2 linked regions of the Caenorhabditis elegans genome follow. The protein of the gene in region 1 interacts with the protein of each later gene in a pairwise test. Each region holds a gene or a part of one and is shown in the gene's direction. Other genes may lie near its edges. The genes, in order: M03A8.3 and reps-1.

Evidence for each region.
Region 2: the proteins of M03A8.3 (region 1) and reps-1 interact in a two-hybrid assay, tested with the Caenorhabditis elegans proteins (one large-scale study listed by BioGRID).

The regions. Positions count from the first base shown.
Region 1 is NC_003284.9:6,798,819-6,804,484, forward strand, and holds M03A8.3 (TLDc domain-containing protein), read left to right. Parts: upstream 1-1,869; 5' UTR 1,870-1,908; coding exon 1,909-1,965; intron 1,966-2,277; coding exon 2,278-2,547; intron 2,548-3,175; coding exon 3,176-3,248; intron 3,249-3,307; coding exon 3,308-3,449; intron 3,450-3,499; coding exon 3,500-3,598; intron 3,599-3,641; coding exon 3,642-3,755; intron 3,756-3,798; coding exon 3,799-4,041; intron 4,042-4,330; coding exon 4,331-4,427; intron 4,428-4,559; coding exon 4,560-4,589; 3' UTR 4,590-4,886; downstream 4,887-5,666.
Region 2 is NC_003283.11:18,985,229-18,992,368, reverse strand, and holds reps-1 (REPS (RalBP1-associated Eps domain-containing protein) homolog), read left to right. Parts: upstream 1-1,868; 5' UTR 1,869-2,000; coding exon 2,001-2,106; intron 2,107-3,039; coding exon 3,040-3,455; intron 3,456-3,555; coding exon 3,556-3,667; intron 3,668-4,536; coding exon 4,537-4,755; intron 4,756-4,882; coding exon 4,883-4,941; intron 4,942-5,384; coding exon 5,385-5,705; 3' UTR 5,706-6,395; downstream 6,396-7,140. Other genes in the region: Y39B6A.37 (Structural protein), read right to left, coding at 964-1,511; mrps-35 (Small ribosomal subunit protein mS35 mitochondrial conserved domain-containing protein), read right to left, coding at 6,754-6,996.

The DNA.
Region 1 (5,666 bases):
TTTTCGCTTCCCGTGTGTTTTCGGTTTATTTTGTCTCTTTTCTGCTTATTCTCGTCGTTCAATCTCAAAACACCTCCCATTAAAACCGAACAGTCAATAATTGAGCAGTGGTCTTTGATAAGCCGCCGTCGAAATAGAATTTGCTAATTTTTCTAGATACCCTTTTTAAACTTCCATTTCCGTTTTTTTCGATCATGCACGCTCCAATGAGAACAGTGATATAGTTGCCGTCTTGAAAGCATGTTAATGTACGGAACAAGTTTGGAGGGCGTCGGCAGTGAATCCGTTCTTTTTGACATGCAAAACCAAATGAAATTCAAAACCTTTTTGCCCATACTTTCTACTCTCTATATTCTTCCTTGTGAAGGTGTTCTATTCAATTGCATATGTATGTTTTTTGCTTTCTTTCCAAGCACATTAACAGTGTAACTATGATCAAATTGTCTAGATTCTCGATTGGTTTTATGTTTCAACGGATCTGATGACCGTAAATTTGTAATCGTTTCAGGCTGTAAACCTGATGAGTACAATTTAGGGTGACAGATTTTATGCACTTGCACTGATTGATTTTTGTTGCGTTTATGTGCACTTTAAACTGACAAGTGCATACAAAAATAAAAACTCCAGAAATTTCAAATAAGCAGAAAAACGGATTTTATGTATTTTAACCACATATTGTGAACTATTTTTTCTGTATTTTCAAGTTTAGTAAAATACAAGTTTTTTTTCATCTTGGCCTTCTTTGATTATTCAAAAAAATTCCCAATCATATGGTCTGAAGGGTTTGAAAATTGGCTATGTCCCTAATAGAGATGGGCAAAAGAAATCAAGAGATCAAGAAAAGCCGTTCCAAAAACTCAAGAAAATGTCAAGAAATCAATTTATGAAGAATGCCCAGCTTTCGTCCCTATTCGTGCTTTTCCATATTTACATCGCATTTTTAGTAACGAAATTTTGTGCTTTCGCTTTTTTATTACTAGATTATAATGAAAAAAACTTTTGCTCCAATCATAGAAACTTTGAAATATTACCAAAAATTTTGATTTGGCGTTCAAACATTTTTAGACCTATTTCCGTGATAGTCTTTTCTAATCTTCTCTTTGAATCAAAAGAGCTCATCTTTATTATCTTTTTTTCTCTTATCAACCCGAGACCATCAAACACGAACGGTCAATCATTGTATGTATGTCTGTGCAACAAGTGTCTTTCGAATGTTTGTCACAAAAATTGGTGGGAATCTGAGTGGTTGTAATGCAAATAGATTCGACGTGGTAGTACTGTTTAGCTCTCACTGGTTTCCTTTCATTTTCATTTTATCGGACCCCACAACTCATCAAAATCTGCCACCATCGAGACTGAACATGCCGCAATCGTCCAAGTTCACCACTAATCCTAAAATTATGTACTCTATACAAATAATCTGTCAGGTATGGCATACGGTCTTCAACTCTCCATCTTCTAGTGTTATCTTTCTCAAGTCAAGAGGACGCGGAACATTGCCTCACTTAAAGGGATGCCGTTTCGGGCTCTGCGTTAGGAAATTGTATTTTATCGGTTGTTCTTCTTTTTCAAAAGTTTTCGATTCAGATTTTTACATTTTTAGTCGCCTGTGTCCGTATTAATGTGCGTGATAGTGTCGTGATTTTGTTTGACAGCTCGCGATTTAATGTTTGCGTGATAGGTCTGAGCATTTTCGGAGGCTTATGATTTGAAATTTGAAATTCGAAATTTGAAATTAAAAACTATAGGTTTTACTACTGATTCAATTCATGTTTTTTTCATTCTCGTTTCATCTCCCTTTTGAACTTTTCTGTACACAAACACACCTTTTCAATGTTGTTCTTTCTTCATTTCAATTCCTCTTTGAAGGCATTCTCCAACTTTCTTCCATCGAGATACATAAAATCAATGGAGCCTCTCTTGACAACAGAAGTTCAATTGTACCAAGATAAATTAATAGGAAAAGTAAGTTAATCATGCTATAGTTGTATTAAATTAAGTTTACTTTAACTAATTGTTGGGATCAACTATGTTCCGTGGATTTGTTGTGTAATAATACTCATAATATTTCAAAATCCTCAAATAGTTTAACTAAAAATTCAAAAAAACTACAAACTTTTAAGACACTTTTTAGTCTGTTTTCCAAACGATGATCAGAACTGAATTGGCGCTTTTTTAACTGTAATTTAAAAAATAGTGAAAACTTCAACTACGAAATTTGAGCATGAGCATTGGATATACTTACGCTAAAAATTCTTTCAAAAAAATAGATTTCAGAAATGGAAATCCTACATCGCGAGTTTCTTCGACGAAAATTCTCTGGGCAAAGCTAGAATTGAACTTTTTCAAAGTGACGGGAAAAAGAAGCACTCGGAGCCTGCAAAAACTGTTTTGTTAGAAAATGTGGTATCACTAAAACCGGCAAAAACCGATACAGGAGCCTCTTTTGTAAAAGTACAATATAAGGATGACTCTTTCGTGCAATTTTCCAGTGAAGAATTGCAGAAAATTATCGATGTTCTTAGCGCAATTTGTTTTCCAAAAAAGGTTGGTGTTAAGGGTTTGAAAATATGTTCGTATAGTTATTAGAGCCCCAACGTGTTTTTTAATTAATTGAATTTTTCTTCAGAATGCGTTCACATTTAGAGCAGCATAGTTCTAATTTGTTTTTGCAAGTTTTTAAACTATATAAAGTTCTTTAATTATTTTATTTTAATTATTTACGATGTTATTATGGCTCATACTAGTTGCATATCTTTAGCACTTACTAAAAAAAGACACCCTTTCCTGCAAAATAACAAATTTTAAACATGGTTTTCCCGTAAATCATTTTCCATACATTAAGACCCCCCATTCTTTAATTTTGTGAATTTAAATGTCACTTCCAATGCTTCATTGTCCGTAAGTCAGAAATGTTTGATGGCGCGTCAGGTGGCTTTCACCCTAGACACCTCTCAACCGGTTGCGAAGGTTGCACCACTGTTTGCAAAGCAGAAGAAGAAGAAGAAATTGGAAAATTTCAATGTTTGCCTCTAACATTTAATTATTTGAATAATACGTTGCAATTTAAAAAATGGCAAATTTATTTATGAAGTTTCACCAAAAATGACAAATTTAGAAAAAAAATATTGAAACTGCCATACTAACAAACTTAAACTTGAAAAAAACCTTACAGCTGCAATATGTCACAATTGCCCCCAGCACTTCATTGGATTCTCCCACCGAGGACGAGGAATGCTTCGAATTTCGTATGTTGATTGATTGGTTTCAGAACTGGTTTTTGGTATACACTATTTAATTTTTTCAGCAGAAACATACACAATGCTGAAACTGAAACAAGTGAACGGTAGAGAAAAAACAGAAGGGGTTTACAATTTAAAGTTTGCTGAACATCTTCAAATCAGTGGTCCGAATAACGTGCATTGTATTCCATACCAGACGTTGATATGGTAAAACTATTATTTAGAGAGGTTTTTATTCCAAGTTATATGTTTTGTAGGGTTGGAACGGGGGAACATTGCGTTGGCTTTGGAGTTGAAAATTTGGGAATTTTTGAATTTGCCACTGGAGATGCCATTCTTTTCGTGGAACACTTGAGGTGTGTAATTCTGCGATACAAAATATAATGCATTAATTTTCAGAAGTTTTATTCGATTTAGTTGTGACTTCAGCACCCCTCAGACAAAAACGATTTGCCGCTTCAATCGTTATTTTCATCCCAATAGACTCGTGAATAACACCAGCCCAGGGCTCAGGTACTTTGCATTTCCGTGTTCAGAATTCAATTTCCGTTTTCAGTAACAACTCAACAATGGAGAGTGTGGACTCTGGCGGCGTTTATTCAAAAATCCAGGGCTCAACAGACACTTCAGTATCTAGCCTGCAATTGAATGAAACCGAATTTGTGAACAGAGTTGTGAAAAACGAATTGAGACGAAACGCGTCAATGGAAATGTTGAGACATAAGATTTCTTTTTTGCAAAAGAAAAAGAATGAGTCTCGGACGGATTTCGAGGAATCAGCGGACAGGGATTTTGTCAGGTTTGTGAATTACCACACATTCTTAAAGAGGAGCTAGCGGTTCTTAATCATTTTTAAAAAAGATCTTTTTCACTAAAGAAGTGGTTTTCGCCAATCTTCTACTGGTGCTATTTGACTTTTCTGTAAAAATAGTATGATGTTGTTAGAAGTGGATAAACTTTGTTCATATTGTTATCTATCTGAAATAATTTGTCTTATGAAATTCTAGAAATCAAAAATGCGGGAGAGAGACAGAAAAATCAAATAAAACATCTGGCATTCATTGAAGATTTATGATTGACAATTTCAGAGTCCAACTGCCGAAAGGAATATTGCTCGAGCAAAACAAATTCTCACCAACGAAAAGCGTGTCGTTCCAAGATATGGATTCGGTGACGTCTGAGAATGTATGAGCTTTCTTCCACTTTTTTCCCTCACATCCTTGCTGCCGTCACCCACTTTCTTCAATTTCACACAACTTAATTTCTCACAACAACAACAACGTCTTCCTCACAATTCTAATTCAATATTATTTGCAGAAGATTTACACCCGTCACACCGACTTGTAATTTGAATTTCAATTCCGATTTTCTTCTCCTATTTTCTTCTTCCCTTTCCGCGTTTACTTCGTCAGCTTCTTGTTTCAAAATGTTCAATGCCAACGAATGTACTACGCACACAAAAGATTGATGAATAGATAAATTCAACTTGCTTTATCGACTTTATTTTTATGTACTCCTTCTTCAAGTTTTTAATTCATTTCAGCCCTTTCCCTGTCGCCACGCATTCTGGTTTTTTGCAAATTCATATTTTTCCTTCATTTTAAAGTTTCAATATAATATAGTGAACTATAAAACGAATTTTTACATTTCATTTCTGTTTTTGAAATATTGACAAAATCCGGTTCTTGAATTTTCAGCCTATTATACAGAAAAACATGCATTACCGCCTTGTTTACTTTTTTGTATTGTTTTTCTTCTACCAAAACGTAGATCCACACTTTAGGTAACCTGTTTTCAAATTGTAAAGTAATCAACAATTTTTCATAGAAAAAAAACTGTCATAACTACGCACACAAAAAAGCCTTGAACTATTACGCACGTTTGAGTCACCTGAGACCTGCGACAGCTTCTGGTCATATTTGGCAATTTTTTGTTTCGTTTTTTTTTTCACTTCTACAATTTGAAATCGTGTTCGCGCTATGTGAATGAAATTCCACCAAATTTTCTTGTGTATGGCTTGTTTCGTAACCCATACTCGAGCAATTATTTATAAACACAGACAAAGATCTTAGATTTTCCTGCATTCGTGGGTAGTTATCTTATGCCGTTTATATATGTTGTTATGATTTAGAAATTGTGTTATTGAAACTGGAATTTGATCAAAAACTGCGTAATTTATCTTCAACATATATTGTAAATCATTCTTTTTTAATTTGAATTTTTGTTTGACAAAAAAGTGTTAAACCACGGCATTTGTGAATTTAAATATAAATATTTTTACAAGTACGAAAAAACACTGTTTATTTTTGTATAAAAATTATTATTCACTTTTTCTGAAAATTAATCTAATACTCAAAAAAGAATTATTAATACTTTTTCCGAGCAGTTTCTTTTATGCCTCTAATTTAAAATAATCTTCTGCTT
Region 2 (7,140 bases), on another chromosome or scaffold:
TAGCAGCGCCCAAAACTTGTAGTTTGTAGTCTAAGCAGCGCCCAAAATTGAATTAGCAGCGCCCAAAACTTGTAGTTTGTAGTCTAAGCAGCGCCCAAAAGTTGTAGTTTGTAGTTTAGCAGCGCCCAAAATTTGTAGTTTGTAGTGTTAGCAGCGCCCAAAACTTGTAATTTGTAGTCTAAGCAGCGCCCAAAACTTGTAGTTTGTAGTCTAAGCAGCGCCCAAAATTGAATTAGCAGCGCCCAAAAGTTGTAGTTTGTAGTTTAGCAGCGCCCAAAATTGAATTAGCAGCGCCCAAAAGTTGTAGTTTGTAGTGTTAGCAGCGCCCAAAACTTGTAGTTTGTAGTTTAGCAGCGCGTAAAATTGAATTAGCAGCGCCCAAAAGTTGTAGTTTGTAGTTTAGCAGCGCCCAAAATTGAATTAGCAGCGCCCAAAAGTTGTAGTTTGTAGTGTTAGCAGCGCCCAAAACTTGTAGTTTGTAGTTTAGCAGCGCGTAAAATTGAATTAGCAGCGCCCAAAAGTTGTAGTTTGTAGTTTAGCAGCGCCCAAAACTTGTAGTTTGTAGTCTAAGCAGCGCCCAAAATTGAATTAGCAGCGCCCAAAACTTGTAGTTTGTAGTCTAAGCAGCGCCCAAAATTTGTAGTTTGTAGTGTTAGCAGCGCCCAAAACTTGTAGTTTGTAGTCTAAGCAGCGCCCAAAACTTGTAGTTTGTATTCTAAGCAGCGCCCAAAATTGAATTAGCAGCGCCCAAAACTTGTAGTTTGTAGTTTAGCAGCGCCCAAAATCACATTTTCGCTCAAAATTAACCAAAATTGCCGGTTTTTTCGCATTTTTCGACGGAATTTTCTGTTTAATTCGTTAAAATTTGGGAATTTTTATGATTTTTCAGCGGAAATCGCTTGAGCAGCGCCCAAAACTTGTAGTTTGTAGTTTCCACGTGGGGCTCAATTCCTCGAAACTTACACAAATTCGCCAGTTTTGAAGCTTTTCGTGTCATTTTTATCGTGAAATTCGACATTTGTGGGTTTCAGCGCCTTATCAACATAAAATTCACTGTCCAATCCATACAAAAGCTGTCCTTTATCACTAATATCATCACTTTCTCGCCGTTCCAGCAGCTCTTGCGGTGCTTCATCATCATCATCATCAGTCGGTGGATCCGAATCGAATCCGCTGCTTTCCCCGCCGCCGGCTTCTCGATTTTCAGCCGGCGGTAGATCACCGGATTCACTGCTCGCCGAGCTGTCTGGAGCCCCCCCGGCGGCCGAAATTCCGACGCCATTGTACTCGACGCCATATCCAACGTACCAGCCGTCTTCTAAATTCGAATTATCAATCGAAAAAGTGTCGATTTGAAGGATTTCGCAGGGTTTTGTGGATTTTTGAGCATTTTCGTGCTGTTCCATCGTTAATCCTTGCTTCCCGAGCGCATTTTTCAGCGTTTTCAGCTCTCTTTTTGTGAGATTTCGGGCTTTTTCAGGAATCTGCGGGATTTCGGACGATTGGGGCATCAGAACCTGGAAAAAATAATTGTTATGCTGTTAAAATCGAATTTTGGGGCAAAAAAAACCTTAAAAATACGATTTTCCGGCTGAATTTCATTATTTTTCGCAAAAATTTCAGATTTAGCTCGAAAATCGGTTGAATCTTGCCGATATTTGATAGTTTTCACCCGTAAAAACCCCGAAATCCATGAAAAACCACTTTAAAACTGAAAAACAAATTATACAACTAGGAAATGGATATTTTTCAGCGTTTTAGGTGTATGAATAGGAGATTTTAACGCTTTTTTAATTAATTTTTGCTTTAAAAAACTGATTTTTACCCAAAAAATCTGTGAAAATTGAGTTTTTCAGCTGAAACATCGTTTCAAAACGAAAAAATAAATTTGCCGGCACGAGAATCGCGCCAGTCAACCCCCTTTGCGCATCTCCAGTGCGCTGGCGCATTTCTCGTGCACCAACTATTTTATTTGCTTTTCCGCGAAAAAATCAATTTCCATGACAGAAAACGACAAAAAATCGCAATATTTTTCGAATGGAGACTTTGAAAAAGTCGCTGCCGATATTATTAGTAGTCCGAGACGTCTGAAGCACACGAGTCCAGGTGATTATTTTGAAAAATAAAGAATTTCAGCTCGAAATCGGCAAATTTGATGCAAAAACGTGGAAATTAAGCTGAAAAACGGTGAAAAATCCAGAAAAATTAGGAAAAAGTGCAAAATTATCCTCAAAAATGAGTAGTTTTAATGAAAATATAACCTTTTTCGATTTTTCTCAAATTTTTTCGCATTTTTGAAGAGATTTCCGCTATAAAACAGATGAAACTAATTTAAAAAAACCACTTTTGAAGGTTTTTGAGTGAATTTTTTGGGCGCTGCTTAGACTACAAACTACACAATTTTAGGCGCTGCTAATTCAATTTTGGGCGCTGCTAAACTACAAACTACAAGATATTGGTCGCTGCTAAACTACAAACTACACAATTTTGGGCGCTGCTAAACTACAAACTACAAGATTTTGGGCGCTGCTAAACTACAAACTACACAATTTTGGGCGCTGCTAAAGCTACAAACTACACAATTTTGGGCGCTGCTAAACTACAAACTACAAGATATTGGTCGCTGCTAAACTACAAACTACACAATTTTGGGCGCTGCTAAACTACAAACTACACAATTTTGGGCGCTGCTAAACTACAAACTACACAATTTTGGGCGCTGCTAAACTACAAACTACACAATTTTGGGCGCTGCTAAACTACAAACTACAAGTTTGGGCGCTGCTAATTCAATTTTGGGCGCTGCTAAACTACAAACTACAAGATTTTGGGCGCTGCTAAAGCTACAAACTACACAATTTTGGGCGCTGCTAAAGCTACAAACTACACAATTTTGGACGCTGCTTTTCCGTTTAGCGGCGCCAAAATCGATTTTTTCTATTTTTAAGCACATTTTCTCAGGGAAAATTGCAAAAATCGAAATTATTTCGGTTTTAAAGCTAAAAAACTCGAAAAAATCCAAATTTCCCCAATTTTCAGCCGATTCCAACGCGGATTCTCTCTTCAAAATCACTGAAAAACAGCAGGAATACTACACAAAATGCTTCCGTCACTTAATAAAAACCACTCAAGGCGCCGCAGACCTCTGCGGAGCCCTTTGCGGAGCCGATCAACGAATTGTAGCGTTTTTCAAGAGAAGCTCGCTGGATATGAGCTCTTTATCGAAAATCTGGTCGCTGGCCGATGTGAATGAAGACGGATGGTTGGATTTAAACGAATTCTCGATTGCGATGCATTTAGTAGTGTTGAAAGTGAAAGGAGAAGTTCCGATTCCTGATGTGCTACCCGGTTTCGCGCGGCCACCACTTACAGAGCCACGGGCTCCGTCTACAGTTGCGGCGACGCCTAGTCCCGCCGGTGCAGGACATGTAGAAGCTGATGGGCCAGTGAAAAATGTGGGGGTTTTTGAAATAATTTAATTGACTTTTGAATATGTATCATCATTCAAAACATTAACGACGTTTTTTTTTTAATTTCGAATTTTTCCAATTCCAGTGGGCAAACCAGCCAATCATCAAACAATTCTCGGATACACCGCCATTATTAGTGGACAGTAGGCCAACAGCTATCAAGCATTCTGCATTGTTAGCACTTAAGAGTCCACTGGGTAAGTTTGGATTCATTGAAGAAATTGTTGTAGTGTTTATTATACTTCTCAAATGTGTGAACACAATATAAAAAGTTTAAATTATTGACTAATAATAATTTATTCGAAAAATTGCTAGTTGAATAGCAGTCATACTACAAAAACTACAATAGTTTTCGATTCAAATGTTTTAGAAAACCTAGTTTTCTAATCAGTAACATAGTTATTTATATACTGACTAAGTAACTAATTATTTAATTAATAACTATTTAAGTACGTTTTTAATTCGTGACTTAGTTAGTAATTAAAATACTTACTGAGTTGCTAATTATATAACTTGGTAAGTAGTTAATTAGAAACTTAGTTATGAAATTACTAACTCAATACGAATTTAATTACTAACTTAGTGAGTATTTAATTAGTAACATAGTTATTTAATTTATAACTCAGGAAGTATTTAATTAGTGACTTAGTTAGTAATTAAATAACTAAGTAAGTATTTAATTACTAACCCTGTTAGTGTTAATTAGTAACAAAGTGAGTATTTAATCAGTAACGTAGTTATTTAATTTGTAACTAAGGAAGTATTAAATTGCTACTAAGTGAGTATTTAATTACTAACTAAGTGGGTATTTAATTAGTAACAGAGTGAGTTTTTAACTACTAATTTTCTTATTTAATCATCATCTAAATAAGTACTTAATTAGTAACTTAGTAATTAAATTACTAACTACGTAAGTATGTAGTTAGTAACTTAGTTATTTAATTACCTAAATAAGTATTAATAAGTATTAAGTATTAAGTAAGTTCATTAAAACACGCAACACTCAATATTTAGTAGTATTTGCAATCTAAGAGCAGCGCCCGAAATCAATAATCCATATTTTCAGGACCCCCACCAATTCCACCTGTCCGCCCACAACAACAACAACGTGGACACAACAGAAGTGCAAGTCTTGACTTGAAATTGATTGCATTGAATAAGACAAAAGCCTCGGCGGAATCCCAGCTACCACCAACTACCCTATCACTTTGGTCATCACATTCCGATCCGACAGCTCAATCGATTAGTACTACAACGACTACGACTACTTTTGCGTCTTTTCCTGGTATGAGACTGAAAAATTGGGCAGAAATTCGAAAAAAATTTTAAAAAAACTGGAATTTTTCAAAAAATATATTGCTTTCAATTTTCGAGAAAAAATCAAAATATTCCCAATTTCCGCAAATTTTCAGCCACCCCGGACAGTATTCCACCGCCGATTCCACAAAGAATCACACCGTCACCTCTACCGGTAAGTTAAGGGAAAGCTTTTAGTTGTAGTTTGTAGTCTTAGCAGCGCCCAAAGTTTGAAATTATTCGTTTTAACGAATTTTTAAGAAAAACTTTTCAAAATTGCGATAAAATCGAAAATTAGTGTAGTTTTTATTTTCTGAACAGGTTGAAAATCACAAAAATATGATTTTTAAACAATTTTTGGCTATTTTTTTGTGCGCTGCTATTTTTTTGGGCGCTGCTAATTTTTGGGCGCTGCTATTTTTTTGGGCGCTGCTAATTTCTTGGGCGCTGCTAATTTCTTGGGCGCTGCTAATTTCTTGGGCGGGCTGCTAAAAATTTACTTGTAGTTTGTAGTTTTAGCAGCGCCAAAATTCAAAAATACTCATTTTTAACCATTTTTCTTCAAATTTTTCAAATTTTTCACTGAAAAATCTCCAAAAATTCACAATATTTTTGCAGAGAGTCATCGAAGAGGAAAAACGAATTACCACAACAGATTCATCAACACAAACTACAGAATTACTCTATTCTGAGGAAGATGTGAAGAGCTTTTTCTCGAAAATCGGCCATCAAATCGACGATTTAATTGGAGAAGAGATTCAGGCAACTGATGGGCAAGGAATTGAACGATGGAAGGAACGTTGTACAGCTTTGAGGACTCAAAATTCGGAATTAGAAGCCGAAAGAGCACGGTTGGCTCAAGTACGGATTCAATTGGAAATACGAATTCAGGAATTTGAAGAGAGATCCAAAACTGCGTGCTCTTCTTCTACACTTTAATGATATCCCCGGTGGAGGAAAAATGGATGGGAAATTCGAATTTTTGAGGAAAAATAGGAAAAAAATAATTTTTTTCGGCTTGAAAAACTAGGAAATAACACATTTTATTTCGAATTTTCCGGAAAAAATTTTTTTTTTGGAAAAAACTCAATTTTTAGCTGGAAAAATAGAATTTTTAAAGATTTATTACGTTTGGTTAGGAAAATAACAAAAAAATTCGAAATGTATCAATTTCTATGGAAAATTATTTTTTCTGAAAATTTATTGATTTTTCTGAAAATTTATTGATTTTTCTGAAAATTTATCGATTTTTCTGAAAATTTATTGATTTTTCTGAAAATTTATCGATTTTTCTGAAAATTTATCGATTTCTATGGAAAATTTATTGATTTTTCTGGTTTTTCGCATTAAAAAACATGAAATTTGCCCATTTTAGAGCAAATTTTCAAAAATTTCTGAGAAAAAGGTATTTCCCGAAATTAAATTTAACTTCTAAAAAAGTTTTTAATTATTTTCTATCAAAAATTCGAATTTCCCACCAATTTCTCCCCCAGATTCCCCGCAAAAAACTAAAAAATCTGCATATTTCTTCATAATTTCTGTGATATGTCATATATATATTTCATTTTTACCTATGTTGTAATTTTTTAAAATAAGCATCAATTTTTCTATTTTCTGTGATAATTTAATCTATTACACTATCTTCTTTTTTTTTTTTGAAAAAAAAAATCATAAAGTATGTATTGATTTTTACACACATTAAAAATAACTATTTTTTAAAATTGGAAAATATATATATATAAATTTTTCCAAAAAAAAATGAAATAACATGAAAGATGGGAACTATCTAAAAAATTCGGACAAAAAAATTATTACAGATCCGGCTAAAAATTTGGAAAAAATTCCAAATTTTGACAGAATTTGAGGGATCTATTATAAAAACTGCTAGAATAACAAAAAAAAAACAAAAAATTTTCGAGAAAAAAAATTATTACACATTCGTGACGAATGTATAATAATCTTAGCAGAACTAAAAAAAAACAGTAAATTATTGTTGAATTCCGAGTAATTTCTTCATCTGACGACCGTATTCCCGCGTTTTTTCGACAGTTTCCTCGCTATTTCTATAGGCTTTCCACATTTCTCCGAATTCGTCAATCGATTTTTGATCTCCACATCCGGCGGCGCTGGGGCTTAATCCAGGCGTCAACTTGGCTTTTTCCAGTAAATCGATGAGTTTGGTTTTGGTGTTGGAGCCATCGAATTCAACTTTCAGAGCGTCGGTGCGGTTCTGGAAAAAAACATTGGAAATTTGGCTGAAAAATCGATAAATTTCCGGAAAAATCAATAAATTTCCAGAAAAATCAATAAATTTTTACAAAAAGCACTGAATTTTCAATAAAAATCAATAAATTTCCAGAAAAATCGATAAATT